Linked DNA regions of Cricetulus griseus. The main gene of each other region encodes a partner of the protein of the gene in region 6 in a complex. Links are inferred from orthologs where the notes say so. Each region holds a gene or a part of one and is shown on either strand. Other genes may lie near its edges.

Evidence for each region.
Region 1: Gpkow (region 6) and Bud13 share a complex: the UniProt entries of both Homo sapiens proteins name them as parts of the minor spliceosome. The link is inferred for Cricetulus griseus from reciprocal best matches to the Homo sapiens genes GPKOW and BUD13.
Region 2: Gpkow (region 6) and Sf3b5 share a complex: the UniProt entries of both Homo sapiens proteins name them as parts of the minor spliceosome. The link is inferred for Cricetulus griseus from reciprocal best matches to the Homo sapiens genes GPKOW and SF3B5.
Region 3: Gpkow (region 6) and Crnkl1 share a complex: the UniProt entries of both Homo sapiens proteins name them as parts of the minor spliceosome. The link is inferred for Cricetulus griseus from reciprocal best matches to the Homo sapiens genes GPKOW and CRNKL1.
Region 4: Gpkow (region 6) and Rbm48 share a complex: the UniProt entries of both Homo sapiens proteins name them as parts of the minor spliceosome. The link is inferred for Cricetulus griseus from reciprocal best matches to the Homo sapiens genes GPKOW and RBM48.
Region 5: Gpkow (region 6) and Cwc22 share a complex: the UniProt entries of both Homo sapiens proteins name them as parts of the minor spliceosome. The link is inferred for Cricetulus griseus from reciprocal best matches to the Homo sapiens genes GPKOW and CWC22.
Region 7: Gpkow (region 6) and Snrnp40 share a complex: the UniProt entries of both Homo sapiens proteins name them as parts of the minor spliceosome. The link is inferred for Cricetulus griseus from reciprocal best matches to the Homo sapiens genes GPKOW and SNRNP40.

The regions. Positions count from the first base shown.
Region 1 is NC_048597.1:158,021,263-158,025,267, reverse strand, and holds the start of Bud13 (BUD13 homolog), read right to left. Parts: upstream 2,801-4,005; 5' UTR 2,686-2,800; coding exon 2,543-2,685; intron 141-2,542; coding exon 50-140; intron 1-49. UniProt on the Homo sapiens protein: Involved in pre-mRNA splicing as component of the activated spliceosome. As a component of the minor spliceosome, involved in the splicing of U12-type introns in pre-mRNAs.
Region 2 is NC_048595.1:275,868,412-275,870,775, forward strand, and holds Sf3b5 (splicing factor 3B subunit 5), read right to left. Parts: upstream 1,195-2,364; 5' UTR 1,046-1,194; coding exon 785-1,045; 3' UTR 501-784; downstream 1-500. UniProt on the Homo sapiens protein: Component of the 17S U2 SnRNP complex of the spliceosome, a large ribonucleoprotein complex that removes introns from transcribed pre-mRNAs.
Region 3 is NC_048599.1:33,085,796-33,089,295, reverse strand, and holds part of Crnkl1 (crooked neck-like protein 1), read right to left. Parts: intron 3,153-3,500; coding exon 2,994-3,152; intron 2,704-2,993; coding exon 2,537-2,703; intron 112-2,536; coding exon 1-111. UniProt on the Homo sapiens protein: Involved in pre-mRNA splicing process. As a component of the minor spliceosome, involved in the splicing of U12-type introns in pre-mRNAs.
Region 4 is NW_023276806.1:221,965,166-221,969,103, forward strand, and holds the start of Rbm48 (RNA-binding protein 48), read right to left. Parts: upstream 2,801-3,938; 5' UTR 2,754-2,800; coding exon 2,643-2,753; intron 1,736-2,642; coding exon 1,545-1,735; intron 1-1,544. Other genes in the region: Pex1 (peroxisome biogenesis factor 1), read left to right, coding at 3,083-3,211. UniProt on the Homo sapiens protein: As a component of the minor spliceosome, involved in the splicing of U12-type introns in pre-mRNAs.
Region 5 is NC_048599.1:97,174,846-97,178,085, forward strand, and holds part of Cwc22 (pre-mRNA-splicing factor CWC22 homolog), read left to right. Parts: intron 1-1,313; coding exon 1,314-1,441; coding exon of another isoform or gene 1,442-1,445; intron 1,446-2,568; coding exon 2,569-2,670; intron 2,671-2,765; coding exon 2,766-2,983; intron 2,984-3,240. UniProt on the Homo sapiens protein: Required for pre-mRNA splicing as component of the spliceosome. As a component of the minor spliceosome, involved in the splicing of U12-type introns in pre-mRNAs. Promotes exon-junction complex (EJC) assembly.
Region 6 is NC_048604.1:114,163,366-114,166,865, reverse strand, and holds part of Gpkow (G-patch domain and KOW motifs-containing protein), read right to left. Parts: intron 2,367-3,500; coding exon 2,257-2,366; intron 1,107-2,256; coding exon 905-1,106; intron 1-904. UniProt on the Homo sapiens protein: RNA-binding protein involved in pre-mRNA splicing. As a component of the minor spliceosome, involved in the splicing of U12-type introns in pre-mRNAs.
Region 7 is NC_048595.1:22,689,899-22,693,919, reverse strand, and holds the start of Snrnp40 (U5 small nuclear ribonucleoprotein 40 kDa protein), read left to right. Parts: upstream 1-1,221; 5' UTR 1,222-1,276; coding exon 1,277-1,420; intron 1,421-4,021. UniProt on the Homo sapiens protein: Required for pre-mRNA splicing as component of the activated spliceosome. Component of the U5 small nuclear ribonucleoprotein (snRNP) complex and the U4/U6-U5 tri-snRNP complex, building blocks of the spliceosome.

The DNA.
Region 1 (4,005 bases), on a different chromosome or scaffold from region 6:
ATGCTTGGATCATTTCAAAGTCCTGACAAGACTCCAAAAGATAACATACCACAGGCAAATCTCCATCTTCTTCCTCTTCCTTTTCCGGCTTAGTGGTAGAAATAGCTGCCCAGCCCACATCATCATCAACAATCCGCATTCTAGATGAGAACAATAAAAGCCTCAAAAAAGAACTCATTCTGGGACACAGGCCTATGTACACTTACCTATTGTTTTTTGGCATTTATTTATCGTGTGTGTATGTGTGACGGGGTGTGTGTGTGTGTGTGTGTCATAGAATACATATAGAAGTCAGAGGACAACTTGCAGGAGTCAGTTGTTTCCCTCCACCATGTGGGTTCAGAGGATTGAACTCAGCCTGTCAGGCTCGTTGGCAAGCATTGGGCCATCTCACCTTTTGGCTTTTAAAGTTCAAAAGTATGGCTCAGTCTTTGTGTATATGGACTCCTACTGTCAGTTCACTCCATCACTGTCCACCTTTTTGTTTTTTGGTTTTGGTTTTTGAAGACAGGTTTTCTCTATATAACAGCCCTGGCTATCCCGGAACTTGCTCCATAGACCAGGATGGCCTTGGACTCAGAGATCCACCTGCCTCTGCCTCCCAAGTGGCTTACACTTCCACATTGCTGTTCATCAGTGAAGGAACTCAAACAGGCAGGATCCTGGAGGCAGGAGCTAATGCAGAGACCATGATGGGTGCGACTTACTGGCTTGTTCCCCATGGCTTGCTCAGCCTGCTTTTTATAGAACCAGGACCACCAGCCCAGAGATGGTACCACCCACAATGGGCTGGGCCCTCCCACATTGATCACTAAATGAGAAAATGCCTAACTGCTGGATCTCATGGAGGCATTTCCTCAGTTGAGGCTCCTTCCTCTGATGACTCTAGCTTATGTCAAGTTGACACACAAATCCAGCCAGTACACCACCTAAGTTGCAATGGGTTTTGTAAGTAGCCTAGAGACAATTTAAAGAGGATATGAATAGTTTACCCACAAATACTGTATCATTGTGTGGAGGAACTTAAGTACCTGTGGACTTGAGTAACCAGTGTACCAACTGCTGAAAGATGATGGCATCCAATGGATGTGATCTGTGCTGCAAAGAGGTATTTGAAAAACCAGGAACACATGCTACATCTTTAATCACAACAGCCATTTCAGACAAACAGCAGTGTTCAGGACCACTAGGACTCCGAGTCTCAGAGAGGTGAACTCTCTTGCCCAAGATGACCCAGGCTATAAAGTAGCACTGCTAGGATTCAGATTCCAGTTAGTGCTGTTCCAAAGCTTAAACCATGTTCCCTGAATGGCATTGCTCCTTCTTAGAACCACACTGAGCTGGGCGTTGGTGGTACACACCTTTAATCCCAGCACTCCAGAGGCAGAGGCAGGCAGATCTCTGTGAGTTCGAGGCCAGTCTGGTCTACAAGAGCTAGTTCCAGGACAGCCTCCAAAAGCCACAGAGAAACCCTGTCTCGAAAAATTAAAAAAAAAAAAAAAAAAAAAGAACCACACTGAATTTACCACATACCTTAACTGAATATAGGCTCAACTAGTAACACCACAAAGATTGATGTCATGCTGAAGTCCCAAATGAAGGTAAATTTGGGCAAAGAGGGAATTAGGGAATTAGTCTACCCACTTCAATGGGCCACAGAATTTTCTCAGTAGAAATATGAGAATAATACTGTCAGCTCACGATGGTTCCCCCATAGAGGGGTGTGAACCACACTTTATATTCTCTAAGCTGCTAAGCTCTTAGCAAGCAGCAGACCCAAGGCATGGTGTATAAGAACGGGATTAGCTTCCAGAGTTTCGACCTTGTATCCAAAATAGTACCTTCTTAGCAAGCTGCTAAACTTAGGGTCGCTGCTCTAAAGTCTATAATTTCTTTTGTCCTGTGGGCTGATGTTGGATCTCCTATCCCAACCTTTCCAGATTCCAGTGGCCAAGTCACTGCATCCGAAATCTGTCTCAGCACATCCCTCTTTCGAACCTGGAAAGTATATTATTTAAAACAATGTCTACTTCACCACAATGTCCTGAAAGTTATATGGTCAAAGTTTTTAGAAAGAGGCCAGGCACATGATAGGAACTGTACCCATATTAGTTGTTACTGTTAGTAGTAGGCAAGAATAACAGGACTTAGATCTTTGGTTCCAGATCAGTTCCTAATACTTTGAAGGCCCCAGAAACAGATTTTTGAATTCTAACATTAAAAAAAAAAAACCGCAATCACTGGGGCTTTTAATTAGTTCTACTACTCTCAGGGCACGACTTTTCAATCTGTTCGAGGGACGATACAAGGCTACAAAGGCGGGAAAACAGTAAGGAAGTTCTAAGTTCTAGCTGGCCTTAACGCATGGAAGACACTGCTCAGAGGACGAGGTCTGAGCTGCAGGCGGCGGCGAAGAGCCGGCTCGGGAGCAGCGGGGCCGGGCCTGGGTCGGCAGCGCTCGCAGCGCCGCGCGGGCGGGGAGGAGGAAGAGCTGCGGCCGAGGGCGCAAAGGGGCAGCGCGATGCCCCATCAGTCCACTCACCCCTTGCCACCGGCGCCTCCTGGCTTCGGCCGTTTTCTGCGCCGCTTCCGAACCGACTCTGGACCTCCTTCCGGGCCAGCATCTGCTCCAGACAAGTAACGCTTCAGATACTCAGCCTTGGAGAGCGGCAGAGCTGCCGCCATGGCAGCGGCGAGGGCGGGGCAACGGCTCGGCGTTGGGGACAAAAATTCTTCTACGGGAAACGGATGGGGGTGGAGCCAGAAACGGAAGCCCTAGGAGTGGCCCTTATGGAGCTACTGGGGCTGATAGGTGTCATGACTCTTAAAAAATGTCTTTACAGGCTCGGTGTGGGGAAGGGGAGGTGCATGAATGCATCGTAGGGCCGTTCTGCTTTCCTGTGACGACACATCCGTGCAACGCTCTCAGCCGGGACTGTTCCAGCAAAGAGGTCACAGGCCGACTTAACTAGTCCTGCCCTGACGACTGCACCGGAGTAGGGAAGAACCGAAACTCAGGAGATCAGAGCACCTATTTGAATACGAGACCGATCGTAACTGTGCCACTGGGGGCAAGTTATTGAATAGCATTTTAATAACGGATGTTGTGCCAAATGCCTAGCACAATTAGTTTATTTCAGTTATTATTATCATTATTGAAGAAGAAGAAGAAGAAGAAGAAGAAGAAGAAGAAGAAGAAGAAGAAGAAGAAGAAGAAGAAGAAGAAGAAGAAGAAGAAGAAGAAAGAAGAAAGAATTTACAAAAGCAGGGACTTGGTGAAGCTGCCTGGTGGATACCCTTGAGGACTCATAGGTAGATGCCAACCCAGAGCAGGAGGAAGAGGACTCCCAAGCCCATTAAGAGTTAGGGCACCAAGGAGATGAGGAGCTCTTTATAAATAATTGTATGTACTTGGTGGAGGTGACCTTATAAACGAAGAACCAGGAAGTACCACGATCAGGTGTGGGAAGACAGCTGGATTGACCCAGCTGGTGTACCTACTGATGACCCCCAGCTCTTTTGCCCACAATAAACCACCAGTAGAACTATTTCGGTTATTTTTATTGGTATAAATACCTTTTGGTAGACAGTATACTGGAACAGTGCCATTTAGGGGAAGTCAAACAAATCCCACCCCCAATATTGTGACTGAAAAGTGGATTGGTCTCATCAAACCTGTATTGACCTTTCCACGTTTGGTATTATCTCTCAAGAAAATGGTATACAATCTTCCCAATAAAAATGACAAGGAATTGTTGTCAATGTGGCAAAGAAAAGAAAGCCAGGAAGATTCTATTTCTTATAGGGGGTTAAGTGTTTGGTGAATCTTCACTTGACCCCCACAATTCTGTTTCTTCTTCCATCAAGCACTGGGGATTGAACCCAGGGCCTTGCACATGATAAGGAAGAGTTCTGTAGCAGAACTACTTCCCCCACCCCTTTCTGAATTTTGGAGACATGACCTTGCTAAGTTGCCCAGGATGATCTTGAGTTTGTTATCCTTCT
Region 2 (2,364 bases), on a different chromosome or scaffold from region 6:
AGAAATCCTTCAGCCTCTGCCTCCTGGGTGCTGGGATTAGAGGTGTGTGCCACTCCCAGCGACTCATTGCTTTTTTGGTGTTCCTTCAGTAACTTAAAACACACCAACGAATGCCCTATTAGATGGTAAGCAACTTCCCATGCTCTGCACGGTTTTTCTCTGGATTCCGTAAAATCTTTTCTCAAATGTCATCATCGCAATATCTTAGCATTACAAGCATAGTATTTAAAATTGCGAATTCTTCAAGCTTCCTCAATCTCCCTGCATCATCTAGCCCTGGTCTATTTTAGCCTTTCTCCAAATTGGCATAATGTATGCCCCCAAACCTTTGGAAAACGCTCTGGTGAACACTGAATGAAAAAAAAAAATCCGTTCTTCATTTCTGAAGACACACAGACTAACTCTCAAGAAAAACAGATGCAACGTGCAACATCTTGAGACCTTGGTCCACAGCACCCTCCCCAGACCCCACCCAAGGAACACAGCAATCCACACCAAAAGATAGGACAAATCCTAAACTTTATAAACATGGCAAGAAGGACAACCAACTACTGAAAGGCAGACTCATTAGAAACGCGTCATCACTCCCGTGGCGTCTTCTCCCTCGCTTGCCGGGTCTAGGGTCGCTCCTCCCGCACAGTTCCCGGGGGTCCCGACAGTCTCTCGGTGACTTGTTCGGAATCGTCCACAGGTAAGCAGGCCAGGCGTGACAGACGATGAAGAAGCCCGAGCAAGGAGGACCGGCCCACCGCTGGCCGGCGGGGGAGCCTGGGAAGCGCTCGCCTCAGTTCTCCTCGGGCTTGTCCGCCGGCGGCCCGCTGGGCTGCAGCATCTTCTCCATCAGGTTGAAGCGCACGCGGGCCTTGCTCTCGTTCTCGGCGATGGCGAAGTAGTTGAGGAGGTCGAAGTGACCCATGTAGGAGCAGTAGGAGTCCCGGTGCTGGTTCACAAGCCATTCCCACTTGGTGGTGTCGGCGTGGCCCGTACCGATGTACTTGGACTGCAGATGCTCCAGCTGGCTGTGGATGGTGTACCGGTCCGTCATCTCGCCGCTCCGCTCTAGGCTTCCAGATCAGGCCGCAGACCCGACGCTACCCGCTCCGCGTTCAAACCTGAGAGACGCCGCCGCCGCCGCTGCCGGCCCGACACGGAACTTCTATCTGTGTAGGCGCGGGAGAAAGACGCCACTGTGGCGCCTGCGCAGACGCTCTTCTCCCAGGCGGAAGCGGAAGTGAATCCTGCCGCGGCATTGGAGTTGCCTAAGAAACATTGGGCCGTCCCCTCAGCGAGCCCGCCTACTTGGAGAGCGTTGCATGATGGTCTGCTGAGTGGCTCTTGGGTGATCACGTTCTAACTCCGGCGTTGCATTCTGGGATTTGTAGTCCAAAGAATTTGGCGTGTTTTTTTCTTTTGGTTTGGTTTTTTGTTTTCTTTTTCTTTCTCTCTCTCTCTCTCTTTCTTTCTTTCTTTCTTTCTTTCTTTCTTTCTTTCTTTCTTTCTTTCTTTCTTTCTTTCTTTCTTTCTTTCTTTCTTTCTTTCTTTCTTTCTTTCTTTCTCCTCCCTCCCTCCCTCCTTTCCTTCCTTCCTTCCTTCCTTTTTTTTCTTCTTTTTTTTTTTTGCCTGACTAATGTAGGATGGTGTCCAACGATTACGACTACAAGTGACCAGGAAAACTATCTCTTGTACCTAGAAGCTCACACGGACCGCCCTTGGTCCCAGCTTTGTCCCTTAGGATCTGGGTAGTGGGAAAAGTTCTTTGGGTCCTAAATGCTTGGTGATGAGTGTCAACACCAGGTGTCTTCCACATCAAAATCCAGGCTCCAACTCCTCACACCACCCAGGGGCCCGAGCCCTCCAACCAAACAACCTCCTAACTTTAAGGCTGCTTACAATCATTTTCTGGAAGTCAGTTGTGTCTCAAGACAAGTACTCTCTCCTTCTGTTTTTCTGCCTGGTTACACCTTATGTTCAACTTAGAGGTTATGTATCTCCTCACAAAGGTATAAACTACTTGAGAAAAAGATACTGTACTTCTTTTCTGATATCCTTTGAGGATATTATATAGCTTGATGGAGATCGTATTCTTTAAAAGAAAAATCTGATGAATGGACAAAGAGCAATCTCAGTCAAAGAGACTGATAATAGGGGAGGGCCCAACCTATTACAGTGGGGACACCCCTGGGCTGGTAGTCCTGAATTGAATAAGAAAACAGACTGAGAAAGCCACGAAGAGTAAGCCATTAAGCAGCACCCCTCCATGGCCTCTGCATTGGCTCCTGCCTTCAGGTTCCTGCCCTGCCTACCTTAGATGATGAACTGTGATACGGAAGAGTAAATGAAATAAATCTTTCATCCCTGAGTTGC
Region 3 (3,500 bases), on a different chromosome or scaffold from region 6:
AGAACTCAACTGCTCTCTCGTAGACTTTCCTTGCATGGGCAAAGTAAGCATGCTTCTCTTCAAATCGGGCATACTTGATCCAGTTCTTCACAGCAGGGTGCACCAGCACGAGTGCAGGGGAGTGAAGGAAAGCAGGCAAGACACCACAGCTAAGCCAATAATGGAGGCTGAGGTGAGCTCAGTGCTAGAGCCCATGCACAGCTTCTACAAAGGCTCAGTGCCCAAACAATAGGCCCCAAACCACACTAAGCTCCCAAACCCCAACAATCAAAATACAAGTGGAGGGGGCACATACCAAGGAGTCTAACCACCACCCCCCAGCCTCTGAGGTCAGGGTTATGTTACTCATTCTGCTCTGCCTTCAGTGCTGACTCTGCAGTGGGTACACACAGAAGCCTGAAGTCAAAGAAAACCCTCAACCTGGTTATAAGCCATGTGATCTTCAGCAAGTCATCCGTCTCAGTTTTTTAGTGTGTTAAAGTGAAAAATTGTACCAACCTCACCCGTCACTGCTGCCTCTATAAAATGAGGCAATGTTTATGAAACTTAGCTCTTTCTGGCCAAAAGAACATGGTCAATAAAAAGCACCTATTACATTAAATGCTCAATAACAGCAGTCTACCCATAGTGAGTAGAACAGTCTGCCACAAAAAGAAAGCTGATATCCAAAGCTAAGGAGAAAGTTTTCACTTGCCATTTAACTACCAGGGCACATCAACCTTCCTTGAAGAAGCCAATAATGTCCAGTGATTAATACATTCAGATGTACCAAAGATGTTAAGAGCATCAGTTCTGAGGCTGATTTCCTGGGTCATTTTCAACATCACCACCTGAGACCATAGTCAACTTACTTTATTTACTCATTCATGTCTCAGTTTCCTTACCTGTAGAATGAAGCAGTTGCTGTACTGCAGGGTTTTCATAAGTACTGGCACTACTAAGTGTTTAGAATATCGTCTGCTACAAACCAAGTGCTTCTCAAGCCTCTGTGAAGCCACTATCAAATAAGACAACTTAAGATATTAATGTTGCAGCCAGGTATTGATGGCACACGCCTTTAATCCCAGCACTGGGGAGGTAGAGCCAGGTGGATCTCTGTGAGTTCGAGGCTAGCCTGGTCTCCAGAGCGAGTGCCAGGATAGGCTCCAAAAGCTACACAGAGAAACCCTGTCTCAAAAACAAAACAAAACAAAACAAAAGATCTTAATGTTGCACAATAAGGCTCTCATTTGTACCTGTTCTGTAAAGCCAGTAAGAACTCTCAATTACTGAATGCCAAACCACCGATCCTAGGAGGGATGTGGACATACCTCCCACGGCCCATAGTTTTAAATTCTAAAAACTGTACATCCTATGTGTGTGCACACATGCACATATGTGCATGAGTGTAAGAGGTCAGAGGCTGAAATCACTTATCTTATTCAGTTGCTCTGTAACTTATTTTTTGAGACAGAGCCTCTCACTGAGCCAGCTTACCTATTCAGCTAGACTGACTGGCCTAACAACCCTAGTGATCCTCCTGTCTCCATCTGCTCAGTACTGGAATTATAGATGTGTGTTACTGAGCCCAGCTTTTTATGTGGGTGCTAGGGATCCAAACACAGGTCTTTATGCTGTGCATCAAGCACTGTATCAACTAAGCCATCTATTCATGAGCATCAGACAACTAGGCTCAGGTTGTCCCACTACAGAGGTCAGAATCCTATCCTACTGGCTTCAGAGAGGGAGAAAGCTTCTTCCTGCCTTAACACTTGGGCGCACACACACACACCCTACCTGAAATGGACGTCAGCTAGGAACTGCATGCTGAGGGACACAAAATGTTCACTGTCCTATACATGTTTACAAATGGCTGCTAAAGCATTGTAATTATTAATTTGGAGATTCCAAATAAAATTTAACAAGTGTGTCGATTTGCAAATAAGGTGCCTTTAGGTGATGAGGATTACAGAGCTCTTTCTAACAGTGCTTTCACAAACACCATCTTCTAGTTGTTAACAGCCGTCTGCCACAACTGGCTGTTGTATTTTCTATAATGCTGCGGCCTAAACTTGAGGCCTCAAAATATACTAGGCAAGTGCCCCAGCAATGAGTATACACTAAGCTTTACCATGTTTAGTTTTAATTTTTCTTATATATAAAGGACACAAAGGATCAAGGAACTAAATGACCCTGGAGTCACTTACTAGTAAGCAATGAATCTCTGGCTGACCTCCATTAACAGTGCCTTTGTTAATCATAGGCCATTGGTTCTAGCAGCTAGGATTTAGTGCAAAAACAAACAAACAAACAAAAAACAAGACAAAAAACAAAACCCAAAACTGAACCCATGTAACTGGAAAGACTCAAATCACCCAGACCACAGATTTTTATTTGAACAATTTCTATCCCTACAAGAAATTGTGAAAGTGATGAAACTTGCCTTCTTGACCTTCAGTGTCACCTTAATGGCAACATGTCTTGACCGTGACATCTTTTTTTGGGAGGTAGACCTCCATGACAACCACATACCACTTATACCTCATTCAAAGGATATAGCGTTCATAAATGGTGCGGGCCCGCTCCACCTCTTTGTATCTCAGCTCGAAGTTGATATAGGAGTGCCAGGCCTGCTCCTCAGGCTGCCATTCCATCCAGCGCTCAAACACCTGCCGGGCACCCGCAACATTGCCCAACATCTCCTCCATGTACGTGTATTTGTACCTGATACAGAATCATCCAAAGATGCCTGCTGTGGTCAAAATGACTTAGAGGAAAAAGTAATCTTTGACATCTCCAGTGCTCTGTTTACATTTAAGTTTTACTTACATAGCTATGGAGCATCAGGATTATGACTCACAGATAATGTGACATTAAATACACTATTTTAAGGAAAAGTAGAATGTAAAGTTCAATATATAAAATTATTATAACTGCACATAAAACCATAATATACAGTAAGTGGTATAATTTTCTAATTCACCAAAGGCTGCTTTGTACAACCAGAGGCTTACCAGAACTGGTTGACTCGTGGCAGAGTTGTTATGGCTCGGTCCCAGATATTTCGGGCATGGTTGACTTGGCGGTTCTTCATTTCCATTTCTGCATATTTCAGCCAGAGTGTAATATTCCGATAGTCTACATCTAAAGCACGCTCGTATATGGATCGAGCCCTTAACAAATAAGATATTGAGAGCATCAAAAGCAGCATCTATAAGACATAGAGTAGTCACTTCAAACTAGCTGCGATACCCTACTGTTTTGTTGGATATACATCGTGAGACAGGTTCTGGTCATAAAAAGAGAAAAAGCAATGACATGCTCAAGTTATTGTACAATCTTAAAGAGAGACAAGCATGCAATTATTTCATACTGTCACAAGCAAAAAAAAAAGTCAAGGTCTGCACAGGAAGCAGAGGGAGAAATGGCAATGTGTGGTGGGAGAAATGGCAATGTGTGGTGGAACAAACAGGCTAACTAGGAAGAGCTTCAGAACTGAGACTGTAAGAGATAGTTCCAGT
Region 4 (3,938 bases), on a different chromosome or scaffold from region 6:
CAACTGGAGAGAAAGGCACACAGCCCTTTGAAGTCAAATGCTTTAGTGGTGGGCTAAGTAGCATATAAAAGAAATATGAGGGGCTGGAGAGATGGTTTGGTGATAAGAGCACTTGCTGATCTTGCAGAAGAGCAGATTCAAATCCCATCACCTACCTTGGGTGGCTCACAACCCCCTGTACTCCAGCTCCAGGGAATCTGAAGCCGTTTTCTACTATGAAGTTACATCAATAGCAAAAGTCAGACAAAGATACACTTTAAATCAGGTTACTAATTAAAAAGAAAAAAAAATGGCTGACATGAACTAGGGAGAGTGCTCAGTCACAAAAGCACTTGCATAAGCTCAGTGCCTAGGTTGGAATCCCTGGCATCCACATAAAAGCTGGGCACTGCTGTATGCCTACAATCCTGGTGCTGGCAAGGGCGAGGTACAAGGATCACTGGTACTTGACAGTCAACCAGTCTAGCTGATGAGCTCCAAATTCAGTGAGAGATCCTGTCTCAAATAAATAAATGAATAAAACAGAGCGCAGTGTGGTGGCACATGCCTTTAAACCTAGTAGAGTCAGAAGGAAATTTAAATTTTAAGTTTTAAGTTTAGCCTGGTCTACCTAGCTAGTTCTAGGCTAGCCAGGACTACACATTAAAACTTGTCTCAAATAAATAAATAAATAAAAGTTGGAACACTGAAGAAGGCAATCAACATTGACCTCTAGCCCCCCCCACACACACACACTCACACTCCTTCCCCCCAAAATAAAGCATTGTTGACTTCACCTTATTGGAATACAAGAATTATGTCATATGTAAGTATTAAAAAGAAGGTGATTAGCATAGAACTTTAACAATAAGAACTGCCATTGCTAATATTTACTCCTAATAGGGAGTACATAAATTATTTCATTTCATCCACAGTCAGGGAACCTCAAGAAGCAGACCTTTTTGCTGTGTGGATTTTAAGAAGAAGAAAAATGTGCTTATCAGGATTTAAAACACTACCAAGTAATGAGGACATAGGGCTGGAAATTTGCTTCAAATGTAATTCTGAATCTACCGTACTACTGGTTCAAAAACTGTGAAGCACAGATATGAGACGATGGAAACAGCTTTGTATTTGTAAAGTCAGCCTTTTAAAAAAAATTTTAAAGATTTTATTTATTTATTATGTATACAGTCATGTGCCTGCATGCCAGCAGAGGGAACCAGATCTCATTCAAGGTGGTTGTGAACCTCCATGTGGTTGCTGGGAATTGAACTCAGGACCTCTGGTGGTGATAAACACCTTTAATCCCAGCATTGGAGATGCAGAAGCAGGCTCTCTCAGCTTGAGGCCCGCCTGGTTCCACAGAGTGAGCTCCAGGGCAGCCAGAGCTATGCAGAGACCCTGTCACGACCCTCTAAAACAAACAAAAACAAACAAACAAACAAACGGGAAGATCTAGGGTGATGAGTGTTTGTGTGACATGGATATGTCTGGGAAAACCCCAGGGCCGAAATGACAGCAACAGGAACACAGGGTATAGCTACTGCTTAATTTGTACACACCTTGCACTTTGTAATTTCACAAACTTGATGAGATAAACTTCTGTAAAATCTTCTGCTGGGTATTCATCTAGAGCGTTATACTGTTCAATCGCACCGTATAGAGCAAATCGCTCGACTAATTCCTTCATGGCTCCCACTGCAGGGACTCCCTGTATTAATAAGTACTGGGATTCCAAATTGATTGTGTATACCTAAAAAACAACAACAACAAAAAACCCTCAATCAATAAATGTACCTCGCAGACAAGCAAGCCTATGGCAAATCTGTCGCTCTGGGAGGAGGAGGAGGAGGAGGAGGAGGAGGAGGAGGAGGAGGAGGAGGAGGAGGAGGAGGAAGAAGAAGAAGGAAGAAGAAGAAGAAGAAGAAGGAAGAAGAAGGAAGAAGAAGGAAGAAGAAGAAGAAGAAGAAGAAGAAGAAGAAGAAAGAAAGAAGAAGAAGAAGAAGAAGAAGAAGAAGAAGAAGAAGGAAGAAGAAGAAGAAGAAGAAGAAGAAGAAGAAGAAGAAGAAGAAGAAGAAGAAGAAGAAGAAGAAGAAGAAGAAGAAGAAGAAGAAGAAGAAGAAGAAGAAGAAGAAGAAGAAGAAGAAGAAGAAGAAGAAGAAGAAGAAGAAGAAGAAGAAGAAAAGAAGAAGAAGAAAAAAAGAAGAAGAAAAGAAGAAGAAGAAGAAGAAAAAAAGGAGCTTTGAAAGCAAGAAGAAGAAGAAGAAGAAGAAAAGAAGAAGAAGAAGAAGAAAAAAAGAAGAAGAAAAGAAGAAGAAGAAGAAGAAGAAAAAAAGGAGCTTTGAAAGCAAGAAGAAATACTCTGGTCAATTCCGCCTGTAAACACACACGCAGAACTGTCGCTCCCGGCTAACGGCTAACACAGGCCCCCTGAGGGCGCCTGGCTACCCCAGTCAGCGGGCGCCAGTGCGCGCGCTGAGGAAGCGCTCCTGTCAGCTCGACGGCGCGGAGCGGCGAGGAGCGCAGCGCTGACCTCCGGTCGGTCCCGGGGCCTCCCGCGGGGAGAGACCCCTCTGTGGCGGCGTCCCCGTCAGGCCCTCCTCACCAAGGCCGCCCCCGCCCGGGGGCCTGGGAACGCGAGGAAACCGCAGCCGCCCTACCTTGACGGCGCGAGGGCGTCGGCCCTCCCGGTACCTGGCCCGCGAGTCACACACGGCCGTCTGCACGTGGTGATCGAAAACGCTCCCCGGCTTCCCGTCACTGGACGCCATGCTGCCAGCGGCGACCCCCAGCGCCACAACAACATCCGCCGGACGCGCTCCTCCTCCTCCGTGGCCAATGAGAGGGCAGGGTGGCTGGCGCGTGCTTGGATTGGCCGGGCAATCGACGCCATCGACGATCGTTTCCTGGGAGCGCGAACTCGGTCCTCCGTGTGCCGCCCCCTCGCGTCTCGGAGGAGCGACGGGAGGGTGACGCCGGCGGGGCCGGCGACGAGGGGGCGGGGCCGATCGAGCGGCCGATCGAGCGCCAGCCCCGGGCTCCGGCGGACGCCGCGACCTGCGCGGGAAGCGGGCGGGCTCGGGGGAGCGGGGCCGGGACGATGTGGAGCGGCGATCGCTCGGCGGCTGCGGGCTCGGGCGGGGCGGTCGTGACGGTGGCCTTCACGAACGCTCGGGACTGCTTCCTCCGCCTGCCGCGGCGCCTCGTGGCCCAGCTGCACCTGCTGCAGGTAACGCGCTGTCCGGGTGGGGGCCGGGCGCCGCCGGGGTCCGCCCGGGCCGGGCCTGGTCCGTCCCCGACGGCGCGGAGCGTGTGAGCGCCCCCCCCCCCCCCGCGGCGCTGCACCCACCCCCTGCGCGGCTCGGGCGGCCCCGGCCCCGGCCCCGGGCTTCCCTCCCAGCCCTCCGCCGCAGCTCGGGTAAAGCAGACTGAAAAGTCTGGGATTCTTTGCGAAGCAGCCTCGCTCTCGGCTGCAGAGCTCTAGAGGTCTCCGACCCACGGGCTTTCGGAAAGCGTCGTCCTGCCACAGAGGCCTCCTTCCAGCCGCTGTGTAGATTACGGAGGTTTCCAGTTCGTGCCCAAGAAGGTTAATAGGACGGCAGCTCTCCCGGCTTAGGAGAGAACTACGCAGGGGTGTGCGGGGAGGGGAGGAGCAGGCGATGGAATTATTCACACCTCACACCTTTACACAGGGGTAACAGGATTACTGGAACCTCAGCGAACTGTCACTGTCCGGATGCCGTCATTATGGTGTTCCAAGGTGGAAATACAGCACGCGGATTTTCTTAACCAAGAGTGAGAGGCAAATAGGTTCTCATGGGGGGGGGGGGAATCGAAAATTAGAATATTTGAAATCTTCTAAAATCTGGCATGCTGCCAGACTACTGGTTCATCAAAGAGGTATCCAAGAGTTTGAAATGACTTCAAGTAGTTCAACTTTCTTTCCTCTTGAGCTG
Region 5 (3,240 bases), on a different chromosome or scaffold from region 6:
ACCCCCTATCCTGGTGGCAAGTGTGCCTCAGAGTTACTGTCCATATTTCCTGAGTGAGTAGCTTTTCCAAGGTTGCTCTTAGTTAGATGCAAGGAAAGGAAAGGATTGTTCTAGAAGGCTATGGTAAGCGGCTGCTTTGCTTAAGCTATACGGAGGAGATCCTGTGATCGTGTTGAGAACAAAGAAAGGCATTCTGAATGGAAAAATATGCACCGGATTGAACATTAACCCCATATTTATTACATAATCACTGTTCATTCGAATGTTGTTGTTTGCTACCACCTGCATGTCCAGTCACAATTCTTGGTAGTGGGCAGTCAATCGTATGTGGTCCCAGCTTTTAGGAATGTTACCATGTAAGAAGAGAAAAGTTAAGTCTGGGAGGGAGAGGGAGAAGGGACTTACATGTGAAACTAGCTTGTTCCCTAACTAGAACTAATAAATAAATTAAAAAAAAAAAAAGTTAAGTCTATGGCAGTCACACACCATAAAAAGTCTCTTACTCCAAGTAAAGCAAAATTAGAAGAATTTTAATACAGAGAAATCACACCCAAGAAGGAAAAGAGGAAGACAGCATTGTAAAATACCACAAACTGATGGTAGAATGAGCTCCACCCCTTAGGAGTATTGGATGTTTATAGTGCTTAAGTCCTGAGTATGTCCAGCTACACTCACTGGACATTTTTGAGACAACCCAGCAGCTAATCAGAATCACCCTTTGCTTCATTTCCCCTGTTCTAAAAAAGAAAGCAAGTTCTAAACAATGGGTTAAAATAGGCTTCTAGAACACAACCCATAAAAGCTAGAGGTTTTGTTTTTCGATTCATCTCCAAAATTTGTGTTCACAAGTTAGTTTGTAAAAACTGTCATCTAAGTTTTCAGGATACATCATCCACAATTTTTTGTCTTTTTTTTTTTTGTATATATGTGTGTTAAACAAAACTATAGCTTAATGCTCTTGGTAGCATTTACCTAGTCCCTTGTATACATCACGTTTTGCTGAGGGAAGTTCGAGAGCAGTCTTTACTTTGGTGTTATATGCTCAAGACAGGATATCGTCTCTGCTATAAAAAGCACCTTCCTCAAGAAAAAGAACGATACTATTTCTGTACCATCTTACCATTGGAAAGTTAATATAGCGAAGCAGTCTTCCACTTCGCCAAGAGATAATACATGTCAACATAGGGAGGGTACAGAAATGCTGCTGAAAGATGAAAATTCCTAGTCATTTTGAGAGGACTTAACTGGTCAGCTACTTGTCCTTGTCTTTTAAAAAATAATAATATTTTTTTATTCTCTCTTTGAAATTTCAGGTTCTTGAATGTATAAAGCTCAGTGAAGAAACCACTACGTCATCTAGTAGAATTTTTGTCAAAATATTTTTCCAGGAATTGTGTGAATACATGGGTCTTCCTAAACTGAATGCAAGGTTAAAGGACGAGTAAGTTGACTATTAACAGTTTAAATTTAGTCTTCTCGTCTGTGGGCGTGCCCATGTTAGCAGAGACAGTTGTCCCCTTCACAGTGGAAAGCCCTCTAGGAATTTGGGTAACATCAGCAGCATGCTGCACGTTACAGGGCATGTGACAATAGGCACTGTTCGGGGTCTGCTTCTAGGGCTGTTACATAACCCTTTTATTCAGATTCCTAATCATCAGTAAGACTGGCTCTTATTCCATTCTATTAATGCTACGTGTTATCCCAGTGTTTCATTTCTCTGTCTTGCTTAAACGTTTCCGAAAGACCTGCATTGCGTCTGCAGCTTTCTCTGACCTAGTCCTTCACTCTTTGGTTTCATATGATAGGTACTTTATCAGGCTCATCCCCCTCCTCAGTAGTCTAAACTCTAGTCTCCTCAGTATCACTAAACTTGGGATGCTGCTGCTTGTTCGTGCTTCTTTACCACCTCAACTACAAAAGCAGTGACCCTCTTTTAGTCTGTCTTACAAATGCTTAGTCATCTTCCTATAATTTTCCCTTTTTATGAAACACTCATTGCCTAATCCCTACTCCTTCCCAGTACTTTTATATGATTTAGATTGCATACTTATACTAACGCCTTTAATTTTTTCTGTGCATGTGCACAAAATATATTTGTGCATATATCCATGTACAAAAGTGTATATGCCATCTTTATACTCTGTGTGCATCTAGTGTCTATATAAAAAATTTCTAAATCTGTATTGTATAATTAGAGAAATCAAATCTAAGGGCCAATGAGATGTCTCAGTAGGTAAAGGACACCAAGTCTGAAATGAGTTGGATCCCTGACACACACATGGTGAAAGGAGAGAACTAACTCCTTCATGTTGTTCTCTTACCTGTGTACACATATACACTAAACTGTAAAGAAATATTTTTTATACAGAAATGAACTTCATTGAACTGTTCCTTGTTACTGATTATATTTAGGTAGCCTAACCTGTATTATGTTTAGGTAGCCTAACATGTAATCGCATAAAGCACTTTTTGATACTTAACTTACTAGTTTAATATATAGAAAATCTGGTAAGTGGGTATAGAAGTTTTTATTTTTCTCTATTTTTTTCATTCATTTTTTCTTTTCAGAACTCTACAGCCATTCTTTGAAGGACTGTTACCTCGAGATAACCCACGGAATACCCGCTTTGCCATCAACTTCTTCACTTCCATAGGTCTTGGAGGTTTAACGTAAGGGTCATTTACAGAATTTTAGGTTTAGCTGGAAAAATTATCTTGCAAGTACCCTAGAGTCATAATGTAACAATACATTGTATTTCTGTTAGGGATGAACTGCGAGAGCATCTGAAAAATACACCCAAGGTAATTGTAGCACAGAAACCCGAAGGCGAGCAAAAGAAACCGCCTCTGACCTCTTCGTCTTCAGCATCCTCCTCGGAGTCCGATTCCTCAGAGTCCGACTCTGACAGCAGCGAGAGCAGCTCAGACTCTTCCAGTGAAGGGAGCGACTCCTCATCCTCCAGCAGTCAGAGCTCTGCCTCAGGTATCCAGGCTCCTCTAGACTTTAGCCTGCATGTTTCTAACAAGTCATAGTGTTTGTAATAAGGGCCAGTCTTAGTGTTCATAATGAGGGCTGGTCTCAATTGCTGCTTATTTATTTTGGCCATCTATTCAAAACATATTTGTTAATAGAGATGATCGTCTGTCACTCACACAGTCTGCAGTGGGTTATATCTATGTTTTAGAAGCCTCATAAACAAAGCTGTGGTTCAAGTGATGCCTGAAGTATCATTCATGTCT
Region 6 (3,500 bases):
ACCTTGCTCATAGCCTCCTTTTTACCAATTATTATTGCATACATATATGTATTTTATATACATATATATCCCTAAATATACCCTGTTCAGTCCATATAACGCTACCTGTATGTGTTTTCAGGGCTGTTTGGCACTCAACAACCAACTGGTGTGCTTCTCCCTGGGGAAGACCACCTCTCCCCATTCCCAGCTTTCCTCAGTTCTTTGTGTGGGATTGAGACCTCACAGGTTTTTCTCCTTCCAGTCTGGCATGTTCATTGGTGTCATCCTTGATCAGTTCACGTTTGGGCAGTCATGTTGGTGAGACTTTATGGGTGTAGCTTCTGATATTGCTAAGAGACAACAACCTCACAGCAATTTCCTGCTCAATCCTTTGTTCTTACAATCTTTCTGCCTCCTTTTCTGCAATGGTCTGAGCTTTGGGTTCAGAAATGTTTTGTACATGTATCTATTGGGACTGGGCTTCACAACTCTGTATTGTGATTGGTTGTGTGTTTTTATTTATTTTTGGAAAAGGTTCTTGTTATGTATCCCAGGTTGGCCTTGAACTCTTGGAAATTCTTCTGCTTCAGTCTAAGTGCTAGTATTATAGGCCTGCTTCTTTCTCACGATTTTAGTTTCTCCTGTTAGGTGCCTCTGACTACTGGGCCAAATCTCTATCCTTTGAAAATTTTTATTTTACTTCAGAAAGTTACTAGGCTGCTTTTGCACTTATTATGTAATCCAGGCAGGTCTTGAATTTGTGATCTTCCTGCCTCAGTTTCTGGAGGGTTGGGATCACAGGCATGTCCCATGATACCTGACTTGACTGGCAGCCTTTCTATCCACAACTCTTCCTCACTCTGCCCCTCCAATTAATCTTCCCTGCTACCTGCCATGGTTTCAGGGATATGTTTGTTTTTACCTTCCCATAGAGGCCCCGGAAAGGGCCAGAAAGGATCACCACAGCTCCTCCAGGCATCAACCCTTCCTTATCCTTCTCTCGATCCCCATCTGGTCTTGGTGGGTGATGAGAGCTAGTGGAGGCCAAGGCCTTGGCCTCCATCAGGTTGGCACCCAGTCCTAAGCCTTTTGGCCTTAGAGAGTTGACCCGGGGCTTCACGACTCTGCAGAGAAGAACACAGGTTTGTGGGAGTACAAGTCTTCAACACTTTCCTGCCAGCACTCAAACACACCGCAGAAATCCTTAGTTTTATATTTTTATTTATTTGTGTATGCTTGTACACCATGACACACATGTGAAAATCAGAGGACAACGTATGAGAGTCTATTCTCTTTCTACCATGTGAATTCTGAGGTTATCAGGATTACAGGCAAAGGCCTTCACCCATCCAGCAGCTCACCAGCCCCACATCTATATTTAGATTACCCTTTCTGATATCACATTAGAACTCACTGAGCTATCAAAATGCCAACTTTTCTTTTCTTGTGTTAGGGGGGGAATCCAAGGCCTCAATGCATGATAAGCACCTCTACCAATGAGCTACATTTTCAGCACCCTCAAAAAGCAATTGCATTTGATTCAAGTGAATTAACTTGTTGCATGTACTATCTATCCCATCCTATCTACAAGTGCCAAGTTAGGTTCATATAAACAAATATGGTAACATTTCTACAGAAGAAATCATATGGTAAGTATACAGAGCAAGGGGAATAGTTCTGAATGCTCAATACCAATTATAGTCATATTTGGCTACCAAATGACTTCAGAATTCTTTGAGGATTTACAACTGAAAAGGGATTTTGTTTTTCAGTCCTAGGGATGGAACTCTGGGCCTTTTACATGCTAGGCAAGCCTCTATCACTGGGCTACACACCAGCATAACAAAGGGATTATAAGTCTATGAAGTAAGAGTAAGCATGTTTAGTTTCTGCTTACTAGGGACTAAACCCCACCATGTGTGCCTCATGAGTATAGTTTCATTTAACTCTTGCAACAAACCTGTGAAGGCAGCACTACCATTTGCATTTTTCAGATGAGTAAATTGATCCACAATGAGGAAACTTTAAGTGGGATCTTCTTACTGTTTTGAAGGCAAATCTGAGGTTGTTTGCTTTTTGGTTTATTCTTTTGCAATAACAGGCTTGAACCTAAGGCTCTGTGAAAATCGGGGTTTGAAACAGTAGTGAGTGACTACTGAACTGGTGAGGGTGACAATGTCCTCCCTCACCACCTGGATGGTTTTAGATTAAATGTAACCACAGGGGTCTTATTTATACCCATTGTCCACCCCCCAAATCCCCCAGAAAACTCACTGACTGAAAGTATTGCCGATGCCCTTGCCAGGTTTCCATCCCATGCCCCGCAACATGGCCAGCCCATAGGCCTCCACAGGGACTGCCTCATAGTTGGCTTCCTCTGGCACCTATTGGTCAGGCAGGAGAAGGGAGTCAGGCTTTGTGATGACCCTGTTTGCAGTATTTGCTGGCACTCATGAGGTGACTTCCTACACCCCTGGCTCTTGAACACTATGTGTGTGCCTGGTTTCAGTGGAGGTCAGAAGAGGGCACTGGATGCCCTGGAACTGGAGGCATGGTGGATGTGTACCATGTGGGTACTGGGGCTTCAACCCAGGGTCTACAAGAGCAACAAGTGCTCTTCTGAGCCATTGCTCTAGTACTCCACTCCCCCAGTGTTTTTGTTTGTTGGAGACAGGATCTCACTATGTAGCTCTGGCTGTCCTGGAACTCTCTATGTCAACCAGGCCAGGCTGGCCTCAAACTCAGAGATCAGCCTGCCTCTGCCTCTTAAATGCTGGGATTAAAGGCGTGCACCACCATACCCAGCTCAACAAGTATTTACAAAGAACCTATTATAGAGGCTGGAGAGAGAGCTCGGCAGTAAAGAGCCATGGTGCACATACATATATGCATACACATGAAGTCATACACATGAAATACAAATAAATATGCCTTAAAAGTTTTTAAAGGACCTATTCTGTTATTTTAGATGCTGAGGATAAGGAACTAATAAAATAGAAAGTCTCTGTTAGGGCTTATGATGTAGTTGTCAAGACATACAATAAATCAAATTCTGAAAATATGATACATTTTATAAAGAAAAATAAAGAAGTACTGTGCACAGTGGCACTATCCAGTAGCTCTGGCTATATATGAGATGAGAAAGTAGTGTGGCTTAAAGCCAAATATTTGAAACCAGCCCGGGCAACATGGTAAGACCCACCCCCCCAACTCAACAGCAAAAACAAAACATTGGCTATGGGGAATGCAGAGGGAGGGGAGCCACTGACCCATCATTTAATTAAAGATAAGTGATATGATAGAGGAAGGTATAAGCCGGGCATTGGTGGTGCAGGCCTTTAACCCCAGCACTGGGGAGGCAGAGGCAGGCTGATCTCTGTGAGTTCGAGGCCAGCCTGGTCTACAGAGCAAGTTCCAGAACAACCTCCAAAAGCCACAGAGAACCCCTGTCTCAAAAAAACAAAAAAAACAAAAAAAAAAAGGAAGGAGGAGGTATGAGGCTAGGAGAAGAGTGCTCT
Region 7 (4,021 bases), on a different chromosome or scaffold from region 6:
GCAAGCCTTCTCCTCCTCCACATCCCACGCCCTGGAGGGGAGACAAAATTTTCATTGGTTTCCTATTAATTGTAAAGTTAAAGCTACAAATTCCTGCAAATCTTCATGACCCCCAGGTTATCTCGTACCATAACCCCCTTCAAGTGCTCTCTCAGCATACTGGCTCTTCGTGCCTCTTAGTCATCTTCCCAAATGATAGGGCACTACTGCACACGCTGTTCTGTGAAGAACGTTCTGCCTTCTTCCTCTCTTCCCCGAATTAGAACTGTCCGATCAAACGGCAACAGCTCAGGCATCTTTTCCTCTGAAAATCCTTCAAGCTCATTAGTTACTCACAGCATGAGGCATCGCTCTCTTCGCTAGTCTTCCAATCAACTGGTGAGATTAGTTTAAAATGTTTCCCACACACACCCCAAGAGACACTAAAGCCCTGAAGTTAGAGAACATGTTTCTTCAGTGTCCTCCAACGCTCTGCACGATAAACGCCACTTGGATCGCTTATGAGAAGGCCTGGTACACAAGCATGGACCTTAGATTTCTCAACAAAATTATGCTTTGGAGGAACCATCGGATACTTCCTCCATCACTGTCTGTCTGGGGGCATAAATTAAGCCCTTAAAAAAAGACGGTTGAACCAATGGTATAAACTAAGTCCGCCTCCTCAGCCAAACCCGGCACTGAAGCCGGGAGGCCGGGAGTCGGGCATCACGCTAGTACAGCGCTGGAAGCAAAAGCGGCGTTGTGCAGAGCAGCTAGCTGTCAAGGGACAGCGGCCTTAGGGTTCCAGTCCTGCGGTCAGAGATCCCAAAGCTCCGCTCTAGCCTGCCAAGGGACTACTCTTTCCAGAACGCTCCCCTACCCCCACGGCAGGACCGTCAGCCGAGAATGCTAGGCTCGGGCCCATCACCTAGTCGCAGATTAGAACAGCTACCGTCCTCGTTCCCCGCACACTTACTCCGCGCCAGCTCCTAGCCTGGCAGCCTCTTCATCGCCAAGAACGCCTAACCTGCTCCGCTCGTTCCCAACCCACAATGCACAGCGCGCCTAGGGGGGACGTCACTACACGCCCCAATCCCAGAGCTGAGCCCTCGTGGCGTCATCAAGAACGGACCAATCGCAAGAGCGCATTCAGAGGGCGTTGCAGAAGAGAATGTTGGGAGCCGATTGGTTGCTCCTCTCCGGAAGTTCTGGAGGAAGAACTCAGTTGGAGCCAATTGCGCGGCGGCTGCGGCCGGCGGCGCGGTCAGTGGCGGCGCCGAAGAGAGTGGCTACCGCCATGATCGAGCAGCCAAAACGCAAGGGCCCGGAGCTGCCACTGGTTCCTGTCAAGCGGCCGCGACATGAGTTGCTGTTGGGAGCCGCGGGGGCCGGCCCCGGAGCCGGACAGCCGCAGGCGACTCCGGGAGCTTTGCTGCAGGCGGTAAGTGGGGAGGCATCCCTTCTTCGGCCCTCCGCTCCTCTCCCAATAGACCTTCCCGGCGCTGCGGGAACGGAAAGACAGAGAAGCTGAAGTGAAAGCAGGCCTCTGTTTACATACGTGCCGTGTGTTCTGCGTCTGTTTCATACATGTGTCCCTGTCGGACGCCTGTTTCCAGCCTTTGAATCGCCCTGTGAAGTAGCAGTGAATCATTTAAAACCTTGGCCTCAAAAATCAGGATCCAAAGTTCCGCATCCTAAATCTTCAGGGATTCAGCATAAAATAAACATTCAGAAAAGTTTGTAGAGTGGACGAATGAATGAATGAATGAATGAATGAATGGGAAGGGAAGCAAGGGAAATGAATGATACAGGCTCTCTCTGCCATCTGGTACAATTTACTTTTCTCTTTTTCTGATTTTGCATTATTAACAGTAATTAATATCCGTTGGCTCGAGTGTTAGCTGTTTTGCATGAGAAATTTCCATTAATCTTGGTAACAGCCCGAAAGGAGCTGTTATTTTGCATATAGGGAAAGCAAACTTCTTTGAGTTAGAAGCTAAGCTCCTAATGGCATTTCTTGTAAAATAGTGATCATGCCCTCACTACTATGATATTAGTTTCAGATACGGAAATAAATGTGCCTCCTGTCCCAACTCTCAATTCTGCTGGTGTGGTCATTAAAATAAGTAAATAAAATTGGCAAGGGGTGTAGGGCTGTAGTTGCATCTTTTCAGAAGGCTGACAAGAAAATTTTGAGGGAAGGAGTTGGAGGCCAAGCCTGCAACTCTGGGTTGACAATCCTACTTGTCAAGTAAGAATAAGTGTACCACCAGTAATCCTGAAATGTCTTTGGTAGATTCCGGTGTACTAACTTACTTTTTAACACAGCAAGGTCGCTGACTCAAAAATAAGTAAATAAAAAGCTGGACACACACAAATTTACACTCAAGCTGCTGAACAGGAGGGTCAAGGGTTCCAAGCCAGTGTAGGCTATTATAGCAAAACTCTTTTGTTGAACGGAAGAGAACTGTTTACCTGAAATCCTTACCTCCTAGTCAAACTTTTATGTCATCTGGCATCATTGCAGGTGGGGCTTAATTAGTATTTCTGGTTTTGCCTTTGAATCAAGGATCAATTATTAGTCTGGTAGCCAGGAGAATCACCACAACATTAAATCACATGATTCTCTGCTGAAAATATTGTGTTGGCTATTTCATTCCAAATTAAAGAAAAATCAAATTCTGTGTAATAACCCCTTTTCTATGCTCATGTACCCGTTTTCTAGCATGTCATCCTTCTCAAATAACACCAGCCTGTGTGCTGTTAATTCTGTTGCTGTTGTTGCATATGCTGGAATATTACTCCAAATGCCCACATGTTTAACTACTGGTTCTTTCAAATCTTGGTTCAGATGCCTGTTTTCAGTGGGCTCTCCTGGCCACTGTATTTTAAGTTAAAGTACCCTGTACTCTGGTACTCATATTTTTTTCCATTGCATGCAACACTAGGTGTTCTGCTTGTTTTTTGTTTTGTTTCCTTTCCCATTCTCTCACTCACTTTCCACCAGAATGCACAGTTCATTGTTTTATTGAGTGCTGTTTCCCCAGTGCCTAGATATATTAGGTTTATTTTTATCCGTATGTCTGTATGTATGTGTGAGTACCCTCATAGGCCAGAAGAGATTGTTGAATCCTCTGAACCTAGGGCTACAGGCACTTGAAAGCTGCCTAGTGTGGTACTGGGAACTGAATTCGGGACCTCTGGAAGAGCAGTAAGTGCTCTCTAACTACTGGGCCATCTCTGTGGTACACATGTGTTATTTTCAATAATTACACTAGATAAATATGCTCATGGTACATTATTTACATTACTTTTCATAGTTAATACATGATAATAAATATAAGTTAGTACACTGGAACCTACCAAAGAGATTTCAGGACTATTTTTGGTAGTACACTTATTTGCCAAGTAACACTGTCAGCCCAGGGTTGGAAGACTTGCCAAACAGGCTTAGCGTCCAAGACCCTAATCAGAAACTGCTTTGCCAAACCAAGCATAGCAATTCACACTTGTATTATTACCAGCACTCAGGAGGACTGAAAATTTAAGACCAGCCTGAGCTACTTATCAAAGCGCTGCTCATACCCCTAAAATCTATTTTGCATAGTAAGTTGTACTATGCAGGGTTTTTCAAAGGCTAGGTGGGTGAACTAGTCTGAGAAATGTTGTTCCTGCACTCCCAGAGCTTCATTTATTTGGGGAAAAAGAAGCATGTCAGCAATGACATGAGGAAGGAAACTTGAGGCAGCACTAAACCTAATGGAATACTGGTGGGGAGATGGCTGCTACTTAAGTTTGACTGTTAAAGAAAGACTCTGGGGAGGAAATATTTAAAAGGAGCCCAATAGCAGGAGAGCTCTGTGGGAGACATTTTTCCTTGTTAAGATCCTGAGGTATAAGTGAAGTCAGCATGATTAAGCAGTCAGAAGTTGGCTGTGGAACAAAAGCAGAGTTGGGGAGGAGAGTGGTATGGTGAGCATATGCTGGAATGTCCAAAGGTTTATCCAGTGAAAGGCAGGAGTTCTGTGAGCAGAGGTGCCAT